2 linked regions of the Macaca fascicularis genome follow. The protein of the gene in region 2 binds, or shares a complex with, the protein of the main gene of each other region. Links are inferred from orthologs where the notes say so. Each region holds a gene or a part of one and is shown on either strand. Other genes may lie near its edges.

Evidence for each region.
Region 1: STRIP1 (region 2) and STK24 share a complex: the UniProt entries of both Homo sapiens proteins name them as parts of the core of STRIPAK complex. The link is inferred for Macaca fascicularis from reciprocal best matches to the Homo sapiens genes STRIP1 and STK24.

What each region holds. Positions count from the first base shown.
Region 1 is NC_088391.1:89,364,674-89,373,500, forward strand, and holds part of STK24 (serine/threonine-protein kinase 24), read right to left. Parts: intron 5,457-8,827; coding exon 5,348-5,456; intron 5,076-5,347; coding exon 4,918-5,075; intron 1-4,917. UniProt on the Homo sapiens protein: Serine/threonine-protein kinase that acts on both serine and threonine residues and promotes apoptosis in response to stress stimuli and caspase activation.
Region 2 is NC_088375.1:124,256,566-124,265,492, reverse strand, and holds the end of STRIP1 (striatin-interacting protein 1), read left to right. Parts: intron 1-13; coding exon 14-140; intron 141-357; coding exon 358-458; intron 459-1,231; coding exon 1,232-1,298; intron 1,299-1,843; coding exon 1,844-1,948; intron 1,949-2,574; coding exon 2,575-2,779; intron 2,780-4,543; coding exon 4,544-4,791; 3' UTR 4,792-5,528; downstream 5,529-8,927. UniProt on the Homo sapiens protein: Plays a role in the regulation of cell morphology and cytoskeletal organization. Required in the cortical actin filament dynamics and cell shape. Part of the striatin-interacting phosphatase and kinase (STRIPAK) complexes.

The sequences.
Region 1 (8,827 bases), on a different chromosome or scaffold from region 2:
TGTCTCCTGATCCACACTCTTCCCGGGCCCTCAGGGCTCCTCCTCCCAGCCAGGCCTGTGGGCAATTCCTGATCCGCAGGAAGAAGCAGGGAGGCCATGGGCTCAGCATCCAGTGACAGGAAGGGCTGGTGTGCAGTGCGGTAGACAGGCTGGCTGCCTGGGTTCTCGCAGCGCATCGGCTCATCCGACCACGCCTTCACCCATCTTCAACAATGCTATTTTTTTCCATCAATGCATCACCAGTTTCCACTTTTCACCATGGTTACACTGCAAACCAAGTGCCATCCATTCACTGACATACCATCATAATAATCTTACAAGGAAAAAGGGAGATGACAGTTCTTCAGTCCAAGACCTTTCTCTAGTGTTGAAACCGGAGGCTTCTTTGCAGTGAGCAGAGTTATGTCCCTTGGCACCATCTCCAAAGGATGGGGACTCCTTCAAACAAACCAAACTTCCTCAAATCACCTTAAAACATTAGTAATGAAGGTTCTTACAACATATGGACAATCAGGACTTCGTAATATCATGCTTAGGTTAAGAACTGGGATTGACATAAGATGCCCTTTGTATGCAAACACATTCAGCAACACCTGAGCAGCCCAGACAACAGGGCACAGGTAGTGCCAGAGGTGACAATGCTCAAAAAGGCTCCAAACAGGATCTAAACATATACAAGAAACAGAGGTTTGTATTCCCTTTAGTTCAGTGAGATGAAGAAGCTAGTGAGGCAGGTGAAGTTCATCACTTCTCCCAACCCACCCTTCCTTTGACAATCAGCTTGTGAACCTAGGTGTGACCTGGGCACGTGCCTTCATAACTACCATACCGAACCCTGTCCCCAATGGCTGGAAGGTCTTTCCTTACATGCAGTGCAGTCTAGGAGGGGAAATGTCTACGAGTCATGTAAGAGAGAATGGAGGGAAAGCTGGGAAGCAGCTGAGTGAGCTGTGAGACCAGAGCAGCCACCAGTGTACCCCAAAGAGCACTGGCTGCCCAGCAGGCAAGTCAACCACTAGAGGGACACACATGGGGTGGCCTGGAAGAGCACCCTTATCAGGCCCTGCTTGCAACAAGAGCTGCCAGTCCAGAGCCATACCCAGTGGGAAACGAAGGAAATCTCAGCCCTAAGGCCCCAGCGTGAAACCCCGCTTCTGATAACTTTTGAGACTTGGACACAGATGTGACCCTCATCGGCCCTCACCACACGCCTCCCGGGTCAACAAACCTGGAAAGTCAATTCCACATCAACCTAAGAGTCTGCTCATGATTTCCAGTTCAGAGTTGTTGGGGAGGATCCAAGCAAGTGAAATAACTTCTGACACAAGTCACAGTAAAGGTAAAAACAGACCAAAAATGTGACACATTTTCTCATACTATCCCCTTCCCAACCAAGTGTGCACTCGCCAGAAGTGGGAGACCATACTCTAATCCACCCCCAACACTATAACACCTACTGGTCAGATCAGAGCCTCCTGATGGTTTTTTTTTTTTTTTTTTTGAGACGGAGTCTCGCTCTGTCACCCAGGCTGGAGTGCTGTGGCCGGATCTCAGCTCACTGCAAGCTCCGCCTCCCAGGTTTACGCCATTCTCCTGTCTCAGCCTCCCGAGTAGCTGCGACTACAGACGCCTGCCACCTCGCTCGGTCAGTTTTTTGTATTTTTTAGTAGAGACGGGGTTTCACCGTGTTAGCCAGGATGGTCTCGATCTCCTGACCTCATGATCCGCCCATCTCGGCCTCCCAAAGTGCTGGGATTACAGGCTTGAGCCACCGCATCCGGCCGGGTCTTTTTCTTTTTCTTGAGACAGGCTCTTGCTCTGTCGTTCAGGCTGGACTGCAGTGGCACAATCTCGGCTCACTGCAACCTCTGCCTCCTGGGTTCAAGCGATTGTCCTGTCTCAGCCTCCCAAGTAGCTGAGACTACAGGCATACGCCACCACGCCTGGCTAATTTTAGTATTTTTAGTAGAAACGGGGTTTCACCATGTTAGCCAGGCTGGTCTCAAACTCCCATCCTCAGCTTCCCAAAGTGCTGGGATTACAGGCACTTGTGAGCCACCACACCTGGCCAGAGCCTCCTGATGTTGAAAGAGCTCGGGGAAGAAGGCAGCCAAGCTGTGATGTCCTCACACTGCCTCCAGCAAACGCCCAGGGAGGCCCTGCCCTTCGAGGAAGGTGGTGGGGACGGCTCAGGCAGACAGGACAGCTCTTGAATAAAGGTTCTCATGTGAGCAGTGATGGTGGAACCAAAAACGGAAGATCTCCACATGGCCCCGTCTCCTTTCTTCATGGCACTGTGCACGATCTGAAACTGCTTACTGGTTGTCTCTTCTACTTCAGGAGAGGAGGGAGCGTGCTGTCTTGTTCACAGTTGTATTCACAGTGCAGTTGCTCAGTACGAATTCGTGATGAATGGCACCAGCTTGATTTTCTTCCTTTGAAGGCACTTAATTTTTTGTTTGTAATACACCTTTTTTCCTCTGGAAAAGATTCTGACACATGTAATAATCTCTATTCATTCATTTTGCTTGATACCAGGCAACCTCTCTTTGACTTATGGGTTCACATCATTCTTAACCTCAGATAAGTTTTAAATCTTTAAACTTTAAACATTCTTCTGTTATATTTATTCTGGAGTTTTCTTTAAAAACACCAATTAGAGCTGTGCACTGATTCTTTCAAAACTCTTTTAAACAACTCTCAGCTTGCATCTCAACTAGAACGCCATCTCACCAGGGCCCCACCCTGAAATGCACGCTGAGTTGCCCACACCACACTGAGGTGCCCACGCCTCCTGCCCCGCCACTCTCTAGGGATATTTCTCACCTAAGGCAGGTAAATCCCTGAAAATGGTGACTACAACACAGCACGCTTGCTCCTAAAGTGCTGTTAATTCTTCCTGTTTACTGTCAGTCTCCTGCATATGAATTTAAGATATATAGGAGAAGAGACTTTTGTTCTTGTCTACTCCAGTATTACTGAAATCCAGAAAAATGTGCCTACACAGAATGGGTTAAATGAAAGAATATGAAATAAATACAATAATGAAAAAGAGAGAGAGAAGGAAGGAAGGGGAGGAAGGAAGAAGGGAGAGGAAGGAAGGAGGGAGAGGGAGGAAGGGAGGAAAGGAGGGAGGGAGGGAGGGAGGAAAGGAGAGAGAAAAAGAGGGATGGAGGAAAGGAGAGGAAAGGAGGGAGGAAAGGAGGGAGAGAGGAAAAGAGGGAGGGAGGGAGGGAGAGAGGAAAAGAGGGAGGGAGGGAGGGAGAGAGGAAAAGAGGGAGGGAGGGACGGAAGGAGGAAAAGAGGGAGGGAGGAAAAGAGGGAGGGAGGGAGGGAGAGAGGAAAAGAGGGAGGGAGGGAGGGAGGGAGGGAGAGAGGGAGGGAGGGAGGGAGGGAGGGAGGGAGGGAGGGAAATCTAAGATCAGAGTCCTCAGTCACAGCTAATTTACTAGAAAGAACGAGAAGAGAATAATCAAGGTGGTGTTATCCAATGAGTTAAGAAACATGGGTTCCAGTCTCAGCCTTACCAAAATCTACACAGATCAACTTTGATAAATGGGCCTCAGCTTAAAATAAAGAGAATGGACTAAACATATAAGTTCCTGGTTGAGTCCTAAAATTACATGACCCCAGGAAAAGGGCCGACAGCCAAGGTAGCTGGAGATGAGAAGCAGCCAAAGCAGCATCCCTCCCATGTGGGGTAGAGACACTCCCAGGCAGGGCACACACCCTAGACCAGCCAGGTCTGCTGCGTGGGGGGTGGGGTGGGGTCGGGGGGAACCCACTAGTCACTCACCAGCCAATGGCTGTCAAGGCCATCATAGTGCTCAGAAAAGTTGTGGCCACCACTACCACACAGCGGTGAGATGGGCTCACTCCTCCCATGGTGGAACCAGGCACACCTGCAACTTGAGCTACAACCTGGACACTTTCTAACAGTCTATAGCTTGCAACGGTGACCCTGGGGCTGCAGGGAAAGTCACCTGGTGCTTCCTGTACCATGTTTAACAAGGTGGGAAGTCTACCGGGTACTGGGAAGATTTCTATTTAAAAGCAGCAGCAAGGTTCGGCCTGTATGTGTGTCTAAGCATATGTTTGCTCAGAAAGTTGGGGTCCAGGAAAGCCAATTCTCCGTGGATCATGTGGCCTCTTAACTGCGTACAGGGTCCAAAGAAGAGCAGACTGTGGGAACTGAAGTTAAACCAGAGCCCCAGGAGGCAAAGTCCCGGGATTTTTTGTCCCATCTAACAGAGTTCACAAAAGTGGAGGGCAACAGAGAAAAAGAGTATGAGAAAAACTAGGAGCGCATAACACAGGACAAGTAAAAGCAGTGGGAAGAAAGGGTTAGGGTCTCATCTCATGTTGACAAGGACAGGCTGGGAACGAGAATCCTGAGAACTAAAAATAATAGGAAGACCCTGCAGCAGTCACTCAAAGCACTGTTCTTCCTCCATTCTCACACTTCCGTGGACTCCCTCCCTTTCTCTTATGGGAGCCCCTTTCTCTACAGGCCCCTTCAAGGCTGCAGATTCCATGCACTTGCACTTCAACCCCCAGCTGTGCCCAGACAGCAGGTGGAGGCCCTCTGCAGCCGCACACGCCTCCACCCCTCACCACCGCGGCCCTTCTCTTCCTCCCACCCCGTTCTGAACCCGCTGCGTCCTGTGTCCCCACCGCCACCAAACGCACATGGTCTGAGCTCAAAACTTCGATCATGGTGGGCTGGATCAGCAAAGGATACTAAATGATACAGCAGCAGACAGGAGAAAACTGTAACTAAGGTTGAAGAATTACCTTTATGACCTACCTCAAGGTACCAGCTTCGGTCCAACTTACAAAAGCTACCAGGCTAAAGAACAAAAGGCGGGAGCCCTCCAGGCCCCGTGAGGCACAGCGCCACCCTCACCTTCCCCTCACCTTCGAGTCGTAGGCCGACTGTTTGATGACCTCGGGTGCCATCCAGAATGGGGTGCCCACGAAAGTGTTCCTTTTGATCTGGGTGTCCGTCAGCTGGCCGGCCACGCCAAAGTCCGCCAGCTTCACCTCCCCGTGCTCAGACAGCAGGACGTTGGCCGCTGCAAAAGCAAGCCAAGGGGGCCCTGAGCGGCGGGGACTTACAACTCCATGCACTGCCACGAGCGCGTCTTCTCCCCGGCTAGGTGTTGAGCCCAGGGAGAACAGGCACTGGGGGCTACACTTTTTGTCAGACCCCCTCAAAGCCAGCCCAGCCCAGGCAAGGCAAACGTGCACGACAAATGGGTGCCAGCACCTTCCCTTGAGAAGGCTTCAGTGCAACCCCACCACCGCCTTCACTATTTCAAAGGAATGAAAACAGACGTCCTCTTACCTTTAATGTCTCTGTGGATTTTCTTCTCGGAATGGAGATAATCAAGTCCTTTCAGTATTTCTCTTAATATAGTAGCGATCTGGGTTTCATCTAACGGGCCAGGTTCTAACTAAGAAGAGAAAAAAATTCTTAAAGTTACTTAAATGATTATCTTATGAACAGTTTGAGATAAAACAGAAACACTATCCATGTTAATGGACAAGGGTAATTAAAACCTGAAATCTTCTTCACTTAAAACACAGGATTTTGCCCTAACAATTACAGTCCACTGACAGACACTTAAAAAAACAAAGAGCCCAAGAAAACGGCTTTGCTGAATGAAGCAAAGCGGAGCCAATGAGGAAGCCCGCGGCCCCGCCTGCGCCTGCAGCTGACCACACGACGCCCCACCGGCCATGGCAGGGGCGGGGCACAGGCTGGGGATTTCACTCCAGGAAACAAACAGCCAGAGACTCACAGAGCAGCCAGGATCTGTCCCAACATATGTGGTTCCCTTATCAGAAGGCTCACCCCTGGGATCCAAAAACACCTAGGAACAAAGGCCTAGGAGCCCGGCGCCTCTGAGGATAACCTTGTACTAGAAATTTTTTAAATCCGCAGTTAAAGCTCCCCAACTTGGGGGAATGCAGCTGAAACAGCTTAAATCCTAATAGTTTGGGATTTGTTATATAATCGATATTATATAATAAAAATAATTATTATATTATCCCTGAGGTAATAATTACCTCTGAAAGCTTTTATTCTCAGAAACTCAAACTAATTGTTCCTACTGACTCCTTTATATCCACAACTGTACAAGACGAAAGGAAGAAATGTCAGGTATCCACATCTCCATTTAAAAGGAAAGGAAAACCAGGGTAACAGGCTCACTTCAAACCAGATGGGAAGCCCCGCCCCCGCCCCCTGCAGAGTGGGGCAGTCAGTCAAAAACAGTAATTCCACGGACGACAGCAGCAAAGCCACCGACGCTCCCCGGAACCACAGAAACGGAGCCGGACAGAGGGCAGATGTCAATACAGGCAGGTTCCTCCGAATCATGGTCCCCCATTCTTGGTTTTCAGGCGTGACAGTGAATGTCTTCAAAGCCCACACCCACACATTTTAGCCAACGGGAAGACACAATCTGGGGCCTTTCACTTAGTTTTAAAAAGATAAGTTACGTGCTTTAAGCCAAAGGGGATGAAAACTAGGGTGCTCCTCTGCGGGAAGCGTCTGACTCAGGCGTGCAGGGACAGACTCAGACTATCAGGGACAGACCCCGATAGTCCCCCTTGCATATCTCAGCTCCTTCACCGGGACATCCTGTTCAACATCCGGAAGGGCTTGTGGGGCGCAGGATGGGGGCAACCAAGACAGCCCTTGTCACCGAAACCACAGCCTGACTCACACCTGGCGCTGCTTTCCGGCTCATGGGTGAGCTGTGCTGCCTTGGCTTGCAGGCCCGCCCCGGTCTACACAGCAATCCCAGGGTCAGGGCCACTCTCAGAGGTGGCCTCTCCCCACACACTGGCCTCGATGCGACTCTGGCCTGCCTGGCAGTAGACCCAGCTGGAATCCAGCCACCCCGGCCTTCTCCACTCAGGACCCAGGCGCAGAGAATGCACTTGTCGCTTTGAATTTGACCTCACGCATATGCTCGGAGAAGGTCAAAATGCCCGTGTCCATCGCCTGCCAGGAACTGTCCCAAATTCCAATTAAGATATTGTCCAAAAGTTACCTCAGACTAAGACATTATGGCACAGACTCTGCTCCCCAGAACATAGTTTTTCCCAGTTAACTGACCAAAAGTCTTTTTTTACAAGAAATGCATATCGAAACTACTCTTCTAAAGAACACCATCTGGAAAACCCTGCCTTGTGGTAAGTCTGTTTTCTCCACATCTATTTTTCGGTGTTCATAGAATATAGAAATTTTGATTTTCAAAATGAGGAACACAGACTCTTCTCATCACCTGGGTGGAACGTGGGGAGGAGGGTAAGACGGAGGAGTGTTTGCTTTTGTTCCCAACCCTGAAGTGCAGGAGAATCCACTCGACCAAAGATCAAAGTCATGTGAGAGGCCAGGTGCGCTGGCTCACGCCTGTAATCCCAGCACTTTGGGAGGCCGAGGAGGGTGGATCACCTGAGGTGGGGAGTTCGAGACCAGCCTAGCCAACATGGTGAAACCCCATCTCTACTAAAAATACAGAAAAATTAGCCGGGCTTGGTGGCACATGCTTGTAATCCCAGCTACTTGGGAGGATCAGGCAGGACAATCGCTTGAACCCAGGAGGCGGAGGTTGCAATGAGCCAAGATCACACCATTGCACTCCAGCCAGGGTGACAGACCAAGATTCCATCTCAAAAAGAACAAAAAAAAAAAAAAAAAAAAACAAACCAAAAGTCACACTAGAGTTGGGTCCCATCTCCCATCTCCTTCTTCACCAAGTCTATGCCCAAGCCAGCGATCAATAACCTGTGGCTAGACCTGGACTTAACCACCCTCCCTTCCATTACCAAGTCTCCTGAAAGCAATGGCAGAGCGGCCGGCTGTCATCCCCAAAGGGCGCTAAGAAGAAGAGGTGAGGAACACTCATGGAAAATCCTCCCCTGGATAATTAAGGGCTGGCTCTGTGATGACTATCTGCATGGTTCTGCCCTTTAAATCTGCCCTGAACACCATCCAACATTGACTCATATGCCCATGGGGAAAGAGGAGGAAGAGGAGAAAAAGAGATAAAACTCTCCTTTATTTGGGGAGAAATCCTTCCTGCATCAAAATCCACTATAAAGGGTATTTAGCTGTTGTCTACCCCAGAGTGCCTCATAAGCAGCTCGGACCAGGCCAAGCTCTCCAAGTCATCGGCTGGCGTTCACCATCGTGACCATGCTCTCCATCATTCAGGCACTTGCAGACTCTTCAAATAGGACCCAGGAAAAAAACCTAGACTACATTCCACCGCTGGGTGACTTCTAACTTCCCCTCCCCGTGTCTGTCCTCCCCTGCTTCGAAGCTCTGTAATAGGGACCATCAGCTGGGCACACAGCCACGACAAGAGACCACATTTCCCAGACTCTAAGCAGCAGCCTGTGGTCACACAACTAAGACCTTGCCAGCGGGACAGACAGGAGCAAACGTGCCCCGTGCCCCTGCTTGGTCTTGGCCCTGAAGCACTGGCAGCGAGAGAGGACAATGGCTGAAGACCAAGGGAAGCCTGGGGCTCCAGATGGTGGAGCCACCCACCAGCACAGACCGTGACAGTGTGGGTCAGAGCCACTGGCCCCACGTGCAGGGGAGAAATGAATTTCTACCTTTTGTGAGACAATGTGTTAGAGCTAGTAGGATGGCAGCTTGGCCTAAACATTAATGAATATGCCATCTCATTTCTTAAAACCCATGTTGTGGACTCATTTTTTAAGTCTGTCAAACACCTCTGCCTAAGTGACTGGTTTATGCAGCACAGTCCCTTTGTAATTAGATTCCAAGGTTGTCCCTCGGATT
Region 2 (8,927 bases):
ATTATGTTTCCAGCACCACAGTGTTGCAGAGCATGAAGCTGGGGGTGGACGTAAACCGCCACAAAGAGGTCATTGTTAAGGCCATTTCTGCTGTCCTGCTGCTGCTGCTCAAGCACTTTAAGTTGAACCATGTCTACCAGGTACCCGCAGGGCTTTCCCTCCTGTCCTGTGGTCTGGGGCCTCGGGCACTACTGCTCCTCCAGCCCACAAGAACGGGGGCCTTGGCCTTTGACCCGCTTGAACTCTGCATGAATGTTCTAAGACATGGCCCTCCAGCCAAGGCCTTTCATCCCTGGAGGAAAGAAGGCAAGGTCCCAAGGGCCACGCCTTTTTTTTTTCTTCCCCTGTTGGCTTCAGTTTGAATACATGGCCCAGCACCTGGTGTTTGCCAACTGCATTCCTTTGATCCTAAAGTTCTTCAATCAAAACATCATGTCCTACATCACCGCCAAGAACAGGTGACGAGGGCCAGGGACCGTGAAGGGGCGGGTATGGTCAGACAGCAGAGTTCCCAGCTGGTATTTCCCACTGCCTCCATTTTTCCAGCATCTACGAGCCAGCGCTCTGCAAGGCATCAGGACACAAAGATAAATGAGACATGGCCCCTGCCTGTGGAGAGCCCAGTGTGTCAAATCTGAGTCGAGCTAGTCGTGCCCCAGGTGCCTCGGCCTGTACCTGGGCAGGAGGGTTTTCATCCCGGGATCTAGTACTTTCTTCCCTGTCCCTTTTGTACTTTTTTTTTTGAGGAGACCTTGGGCTGCTTGCTCTCTCTAAGGGGCTCGGCCATGTGCCCTGTAACGCCCTGTCTGCTGACTCTTAGCCCCTGCTGTTGGCCTGGTGCCAGCTATAGTTGACATTACTTGCTCGTCAGTGTGATATACCACAGGGCGCTGGCCAGACCCTGTCTCCAGAAAGGCTTGGCATCAATTAGTTGCCCTGAGCAGTCTCCTCCCCAGCCCCGCACTGATGGCTATGGGGGAAGCTGTGAGGGTCTCTGCCCCTTACAAGATCAACCAGCTGGCCTCTGGCTACAGGAGTGCCTTACAAGTTCCCTTGTAGCAGATATTTCCTCGTCTTATAGCTGGGGAAACGGGTGGGACAGACCAGGTAGATTCCTACTTCTGCTCCAACAAGTGAGGGAGGAAGGCTGGGAACTGGCTCAGGCACGGCTGCTCCACTAGGCCCTGGGCCTTTGCTCATGGTGGGCACCTGGATCCTCTCCCCTCTGCAGCATTTCTGTCCTGGATTACCCTCACTGCGTGGTGCATGAGCTGCCAGAGCTGACTGCAGAGAGTCTGGTGAGTGGCTGGGCTCTCCTCGGCTGTCCCTTTGGCACCCGGGTTAGTGAGTAGAGAGCCTGCCTACCCCAACACCACAGGAATAGAGGTGTCTCCCACAGGCGAAGTCACTGTGGAGTGCCCGGCTTTTAGAGCACTGTAAGTGTACAAAAGGGCCAGGAGGAGGGCTCTTGCAGAGCAGAGAGATTTGGATTTAGGGATTTGTCAGGGAGTGTGATCTTCAGGGGCTGCTGATCCAGAGCTCACCTCGTAGAGGGCTTCTCTCCCTCAACACTGGACTCAGCAGTAGGAGCCCTAGGGCAGCCCAAGGCTGCAGCTCCCAGTATCACGGTTCATGTTTCCTTCAGGAAAAGTCTGGGGAGCCTCCCTCTTCCCCTAGTCCCTGCCAGCTTCTGGGACGGAGTCCTGGGGCTGCTCTGAGAGCAGGGGGTTCCTGGTAGAGGCCTGAAGACCCGGCTCTTCTAAGATCATGTGTGAGGGACTTTTGGAAACTGCTGCACACACTGTAGCCGTGAGGGCTGATTGTTCCTGGGTTTACCCTGCAGGAAGCAGGTGACAGTAACCAGTTTTGCTGGAGGAACCTCTTTTCTTGTATCAATCTGCTTCGGATCTTGAACAAGCTGACAAAGTGGAAGCATTCAAGGACAATGGTAAGTGAGTCAGTGCATTCAGCAGGCTTGGAACTTGGAGCTCAAAGAAGAGTGCTGGGAGCAGGGAGTCCCTAGGGTGGGGCTCACTGTGCCTTCTCACTTAACTTTGCTGTAGCCATATCCTTGCATTTTATGGGCCAGTTCCCAGTTCCTTGATGAGTTTGATGAGTTGAACTGGAAGCTGGAAGAGGCCCAGTCATGTACTAAAACAAATCTACACTTACAGAAGAGCTTTTTCCATGTCATCTTAATCTTGATTGGTTACATAACCAGGGTTCTGAGAATCTTCCTTAACTCTGGGTCTGTGGATGCCTTTGGGGTGGGGAGGTCCTTGAATCCTCTGGTAACTTATGTGTACGTGTACACAGGAATGTTTCTGGAAAGAATCCATAGCTTTCTTCAGATTCCAAAGTGACCCTTAGTTAGGGTGACCAACCATCCTGGTTTGCCTGGAACTCTACTGGTTTTAGCATTTGAAGTCCAATGTATTAGGAAACGCTTCAGTCCAAGGGAAACTGGGAAGGTTTGTCACCTTAACTTCCAAAGGGTTAAGCAGCAGCGTGACCAGGGCTGTATGCATTTATTTCTGTCTTCAGCTTGGGCTGCTTGCTTGTTTGCCTTCCCAGATGCTGGTGGTGTTCAAGTCAGCCCCCATCTTGAAGCGGGCCCTAAAGGTGAAACAAGCCATGATGCAGCTCTACGTGCTGAAGCTGCTCAAGGTACAGACCAAATACTTGGGGCGGCAGTGGCGAAAGAGCAACATGAAGACCATGTCTGCCATCTACCAGAAGGTGCGGCATCGGCTCAATGACGACTGGGCATACGGCAACGGTGAGGCTCTGCACTCAGTCACATTTGGGTGGGAGTGTGTCGGGCAAGGTGACATCTTCCACTCCCTGCCCGTGGTGCTCAGGTGCTTCTCTGCCCTGAGCTTCCCACCAAGGAACAGAAAGGAGCCCAGCTTCTGCTTTTGTAGCATCAGGATGGGCACTCTAGGAAGGACTTTGAGAAGCTACCCAGGCTTGGCATCTGCGATCATCCCCATCTCTCCCTGTACCTCCAAGTCATTCCTTTTCTAGAAATTGTCATAACACTATGTCCCCTCTTTTCATCCCCATTTTGGCCACCCAAACTTTTACAGCTCTTGACTGGCTTCCCTGCCTCTAGTTCCTTCCCCTCCATCAGTGTCTTAGATTTCCCTAGTGATCCTTTTTTACTTTAATTTTTTTCAAAGATGGGGCCTGTTTCAAAGATGGGGCTGTGTTGGCCCAGGCTGGAGTGTGGTCTCGGCTCACCATAACATCTGCCTCCTTAGTCTCCCGAGTAGCTGGACCACAGGCACATTCCACTGTGCCCACCTAATTGTATCTTTTTTGTAGAGACAGGGTTTCACCATGTTTCCTAGGGTGTTTTTTTGTTTCTTTTTTTTTTTTGAGACAGAGATTCTGTCACCCAGGCTGGTTTGCACTGGCACGGTCTCAGCTCACTGCAACCTCCGCCCCCCGAGTTTAAGCAATTCTCCCCCCTCAGCCTCCCAACTAGCTGGGACTACAGCTGGACTCCACCATGTCCAGCTAATTTTTGTATTTTTTGTAGAGATGGGGTTTCACCATGTTAGCCAGGCTGGTCTCGAGTTCCTGGCCTCAAGTGATCCACCCGCCTCAGCCTCCCAAAGTGCTGGGATCACAGGCGTGAGCCACTGTGCCTATCCTTCTCAGGTGGTTCTTGAACTCCTGGGTTCAAGGGATCCACCTGCCTTGGCCTCCCAAAGTGTTGGGATTACAGGCATGAGCCACTGCGCCCGGCACCCTAGTGAATCTTTTCAACATGCAGCTTCTGTGCTGTTACCTCCCTGAGTAAAATCCTTCATTAGCTTCCTGTTTCCCTTAGAATTAGATTCAGACTCAAGCATGAGGCTCCCTCGTCCTTTTTCATTATCCTCCTCTGTAATCTGACCCAGCTTCCTTTTCAACCTCGTTACCTGCTGTCAGTCCAGCCTCCATCATACCCAGAGCTCCAGGCACAAGGAGTGCTTAGTGCCCTAACATAGCTGTGTGGTTCCCACTGCTAGGCCTCTGCAGACGCTCTTCCTCCACCCGCAGGGTCTCCCCTGCCCGCCTGGGCTGCTCTGTGTGGGTGTGTTGCCACATTGTTGCGTTTCTGGAGTATACCACCATGGCTAAATGACTGTGTCTGTACTCTCAGTGCCTTGTGAATGTGTGCAGGCCCACGGTGGCACACGGTACCTGGTCAGGGAGTTGAGAGAGAATGAGCAAATGAGAGGATTTCCAGGTTCCTCCCTCTGACCCCAGAGAGCTAGGGAGGTTGCCACTTTGAGAGAAATGTGTTGTACACATGGCTCTCCCTCTCTGGGTCTACATAATCTCTACAGTATAAGCCTCTTTGTCGGTACTTCTGTCTTTTCTGCTTGTACTTGACTCTCCTTTGGATCTAGGAAGGAATTCCTAGAGCTCGGAGGTATCCTGCTCCTAGTTGACACTCAATATTCCTGGCCAGGCCCCTGAGCTGCAGTGAGTCCATGGGGAGCTGCTACAGGGCGTGGCTCCTAACTGTGTTCTTCCTGCTTTGTCTCAGATCTTGATGCCCGGCCTTGGGACTTCCAGGCAGAGGAGTGTGCCCTCCGTGCCAACATTGAACGCTTCAACGCCCGGCGCTATGACCGGGCCCACAGCAACCCCGACTTCCTGCCAGTGGACAACTGCCTGCAGAGTGTCCTGGGCCAACGGGTGGACCTCCCTGAGGACTTTCAGATGAACTATGACCTCTGGTTAGAAAGGGAGGTCTTCTCCAAGCCCATTTCCTGGGAAGAGCTGCTGCAGTAAGGCTGTTGGTTAGGGGACTGAAACAGAGAAAGGAGGATCTCAAGGTACCTGCAGGACTGTCCTAGTTCATGGCTGCAGTGCTCCCATTCCCCACCAGGTGGCAGCACAGCCCCACTGTGTCTTCTGCAGTCTGTCCTGGGCTTGGATGAGCCCAGCTTTACCTCCTATTGGTTCCCAGGGTCCAGCTCAGAAGCAGTCATCTCTGCCTGGGATCCATTCTTCCTTTATTTCTCCCACCCTCCTCTCTTGGACATGGTTGGTTTTGGCTCATTTCACAATCAGCCCAAGGCTGGGAAAGCTGGAATGGGATGGGAACCCCTCCACAGCACATCTAAATTTCAGGGGTCATGCTGATGCCTCCTGAGACACACAAATCCTTGCTTTGTCAGCTTGCAAAGGAGGAGAGTTTAGGATTAGGGCCAGGGCCAAAAAAAAATACAACGGTGTCTTGGTTGTGCTCTGGGGTGGGGGTGGGGGGTTTCTGTTGTTATTCCAGCCTCCTGCTATGTTACATGCAGAAGTAATTGCAGAGGCTCCTGCAGCTGCCTCCACACTTTGATTTTGGACAGGGACAAGGTAGGAAGAGAAGCTTCCCTTAACCAGAGGGGCCATTTTTCCTTTTGGCTTTGGAGGGCCTGTAAATACCTATATATAATTCTGTGTGTATTCTCCTGTGTCATGTTGGGGTTTTTAATGTGTTTGTGTATTCTGTTTACATTAAAAATAAGCAAAAATCATTCCCGTTGGCTTGTCTACGGGAAATATGGCCTCTACATGTCTCCTCCAGGTCTAGAAAGTGTTTTTTTCTGCTAGCATTGCTGGTCACTGCTTGTCTTGCCAAGCTGCCTGCCTTTCCCATCCTGGGGGAAGAGAAGAGGGAGTTGGCATTTATCCAGTGTAAATTAACCCCACAGTAATCTGGGATTACTCTCACCCAACTCCAGGGCACTATCAAGGTTACTTTACTGAGACATTGTCCTGCACCCCTGGGTTTGCTGTAATTTCAGTAGGAGCCCCAGGTTTCTCTGGATCACATCACTGAGCTGGCCTCAGCCAAACCAGTGTCAGTGCTAGAGAGGGAGGGGCTAGGTCAAAGCAAGGGGGTCAGCTGCTCTAGGTCCTCCCTGGGGCAGGTGGTTGGGACTGAGCGGAAACTTCAGTACTCAGAGCGTAGGAAGCAGACTATCAGGAGTCAGGTTCATGGTGGGAAACAATGTTGCCAGGAGCCAGGAGCCCCCTGTGGCTGAGAAAAAAGCAAGGAAAATCTTTGCAGTGGGTGTCAGTGGACACCTGGCGCCTACACTCTGGCCTCCAGACCCCTGGTTGCGTCTGCCTGAGAAGATATTACCGTTTTGATGCTGGTAAAAGGAGTGTTCCCTTTTTAGAATTCCTGGAAGCTCTTATTTTACCTGTACGCAGTTGTTTTATAGGTTCTTAAGTCTTGAAGGGTCTTGACTTGTAAAGGAAACATGTTTTGGGGAGAATCTCCCCTTCCTTGGGTCTTGTGTTCAGTGCCTGCCTGACCTGGGACCTGCTGAGCCTCAGACAGGCCTTTTGATGTGCCAGCATGGTTAGGGACAGCAGGGGTGGAAGGCAGCAGTGTACTCCTGGTGGTCACACAGTCTGTGAGATGGGAAGTCCCATCTGTGACTGATGGGCCCTTTGCCCCAAAGTAACTTGTACAGGACAAGGGAATTGACACAGTTTATGTGTGGATGATGGATTTTCTGCTATTTCTTGCCAGGACTGGTAGGAAATATGTATCTTGAGATTTCAATTAGGGAGAGATGGATTTTTCACACTGGTACTGTCCCATGAAGCCTGAGTCACTGAACCTGCATGGTCAAGGCCTGTCTCTCCTCTGACCTGCAAAACAGAATGCAGGACTATCAAAACTGCAAGGGCCGTGAAGCCTGGGCAGGTGAATCCCTTCAGCTGTAGGCCCAGGAGCCAGCCCAGAGAGAGGAAGGGGCTTCTCACAGTCACAGAGCATGTTAGTGGCAGGTTGGCCATTTGAACTCAGGACTTTGTACAGAAATGTCTTTTGGAGCCACCCAGTTTTTGTGGCTTTTTAAATCTCATCTGGGTCATGAAGTGGGCAGAGTACATGAAGACCCTTTGTAAATGATTGAATTACATAAAATATTGTTTATTGCTAAGCAGACTCAGGGTCCACTCTTCAATCCACTGAGAGACAGACTACCCTGAGGCAGTATCACTGTAAGGATAGGAACTGTCCGTTATTAATCATAAGAGTTACCACTTATGGGTTGCCAAGTAGGTACCAGGCACAATATTAGATGCTTCTCAAAGCCTTATTTTCTACAAAGCCAGTAAATACTGAGTACTTACTGTGTGCCAGCCAGCATTCTAACCACTTGATGTATAATATCTTATATATTCCTTGTAATATCTTGAAAGATACATGCCATTTTAATCCCTATTTTGCACAGGAGAAAACTGTGGCACAGAAAGGATAAAGAACTTGCCCAAAGTCATATAAAGGCAAGAGCCAGGATTCAAATCCAGGCCTCTGTCAGCACATGCATTTTTTTCACTTCCTCACACCCTTTGCTATTAGTCATTGTCATACCCCAGCACTTACCACCAGTACTTACCACCAGTGCATTCATTTGCTCATTTATTCACCACAGCCAATACTTCTATTTGCTCTAGCATCATCCCTGGCATGAAAGATTCATGGTAAATGTCCATTGCTTTAGGTCCTAACTGGACCACCCAAGCTTAGCCTTGGGCTAGCCTCTGGTGTTCCCTGGATGTGCCCTCCTCAGGGTAACTTGGCTGTTGCTGCTGTCTTTTTTCTTTTCAGCCTGAGCCTAAATTTCTTTCTCTTCTGGGTCCCAGAGGACTCTTGTGTTGGCTGCCCTATCCAGACCTGTTAGGCTCATTTCCCAGAAAGCTGGCTTCTTGTCTGTCCTGGATGAGCTGACTTCTCAGAGGAGAATAGCTGTTACATTCATTCGGCACTTAGCACAGTCAGCCTCAGGAGCACCCTTTGGAAGTGAGACAGCCCTGACTTTCAGTTCGGGCTCTGACATTTATTCACTGAGGGACCTTGAGCTAGTCAAGTTCCAAGTCTCAGTTGGCTCATCTGTAAAAATTGGTTTAATAATAGCCCTATTGCGTGGACTGAGTAAGATCATGGAAATGAACCTACAGGTCTGGCTGACAAGGGATGACAATAAATGGTAGCAGTTCTTAGTCTTGGCAATGGCCCCTCCAACTCTAATGTTCTATGAATTTGCACCCATTTCCTGTGTCCCTAGAAGACAGAAATCCCCTTCAAGGACCAGAACCATGTCTTAGGCCTCCTTAAAGCCCCTGGACCTAGCTTGCTGCTCTGAATCCAGAGGTGTCTCAGAAGAGTCAGCTTCTCGTCCAGCAACCTGCCATCACACCTTGAAGGCCTGTTGGGGCCAGGCCCTGTGGTTGATGCCCTGGATATCCAGGTGACTAGGATACCACACTCTCTCACTTCTCTCGAGCTCACAGTTGATGGAGACACAGTCATAAGAGCAAGTAAAAGCAATAGCATGATAGGTAACAGACGTCTGAAGGGCTTACCTCAGGTCCCACTGGTCCCAGCCTCTTACTATTGGAGGAGAGATTGCTGGGGGAGCTGGCAGTCGCTGAGTGGGAAGGAAGGGGGCTCCAGCATCAGTATCGAGGGCTCTGACAGCTAACGCTTGATGCTTACCCCTTCCAGGTGAAAATGGCTGGGATGAGCCTGAGGAGGAGACTGGGGCAGGGGCAAGGTATGTCTTTCCTCTGCTGGATAAAGGAAATGTTAGGGTCTTCCCAGTTCCTGGCCATGCTAGACTCTTCCTGTCTGGAGCTGCAGAGGGTCTGCACTTTGGGATTGTAATTCAGGTTGAAGTGTAAATGGGAGAGGTGCGGAAGGAGGATTGAATGCCTCGTAGGAGAAGCATTTCCAGCTGCTGACTGAGGTGGGCAGACTGGACTGATGGGCCCCCTGGCTGTGGCCCTCTAGTCCTGACCTGGTGTCCATGTTCCTGCCAGGACCAAGATTTAGGGCTCTGGCATCTTCTCTGGGGGAGACAAGAGCCTCAGCAAAAGGAGCTGGGATTTCAGGAGGGGCCATTTCCCCTTTCCCT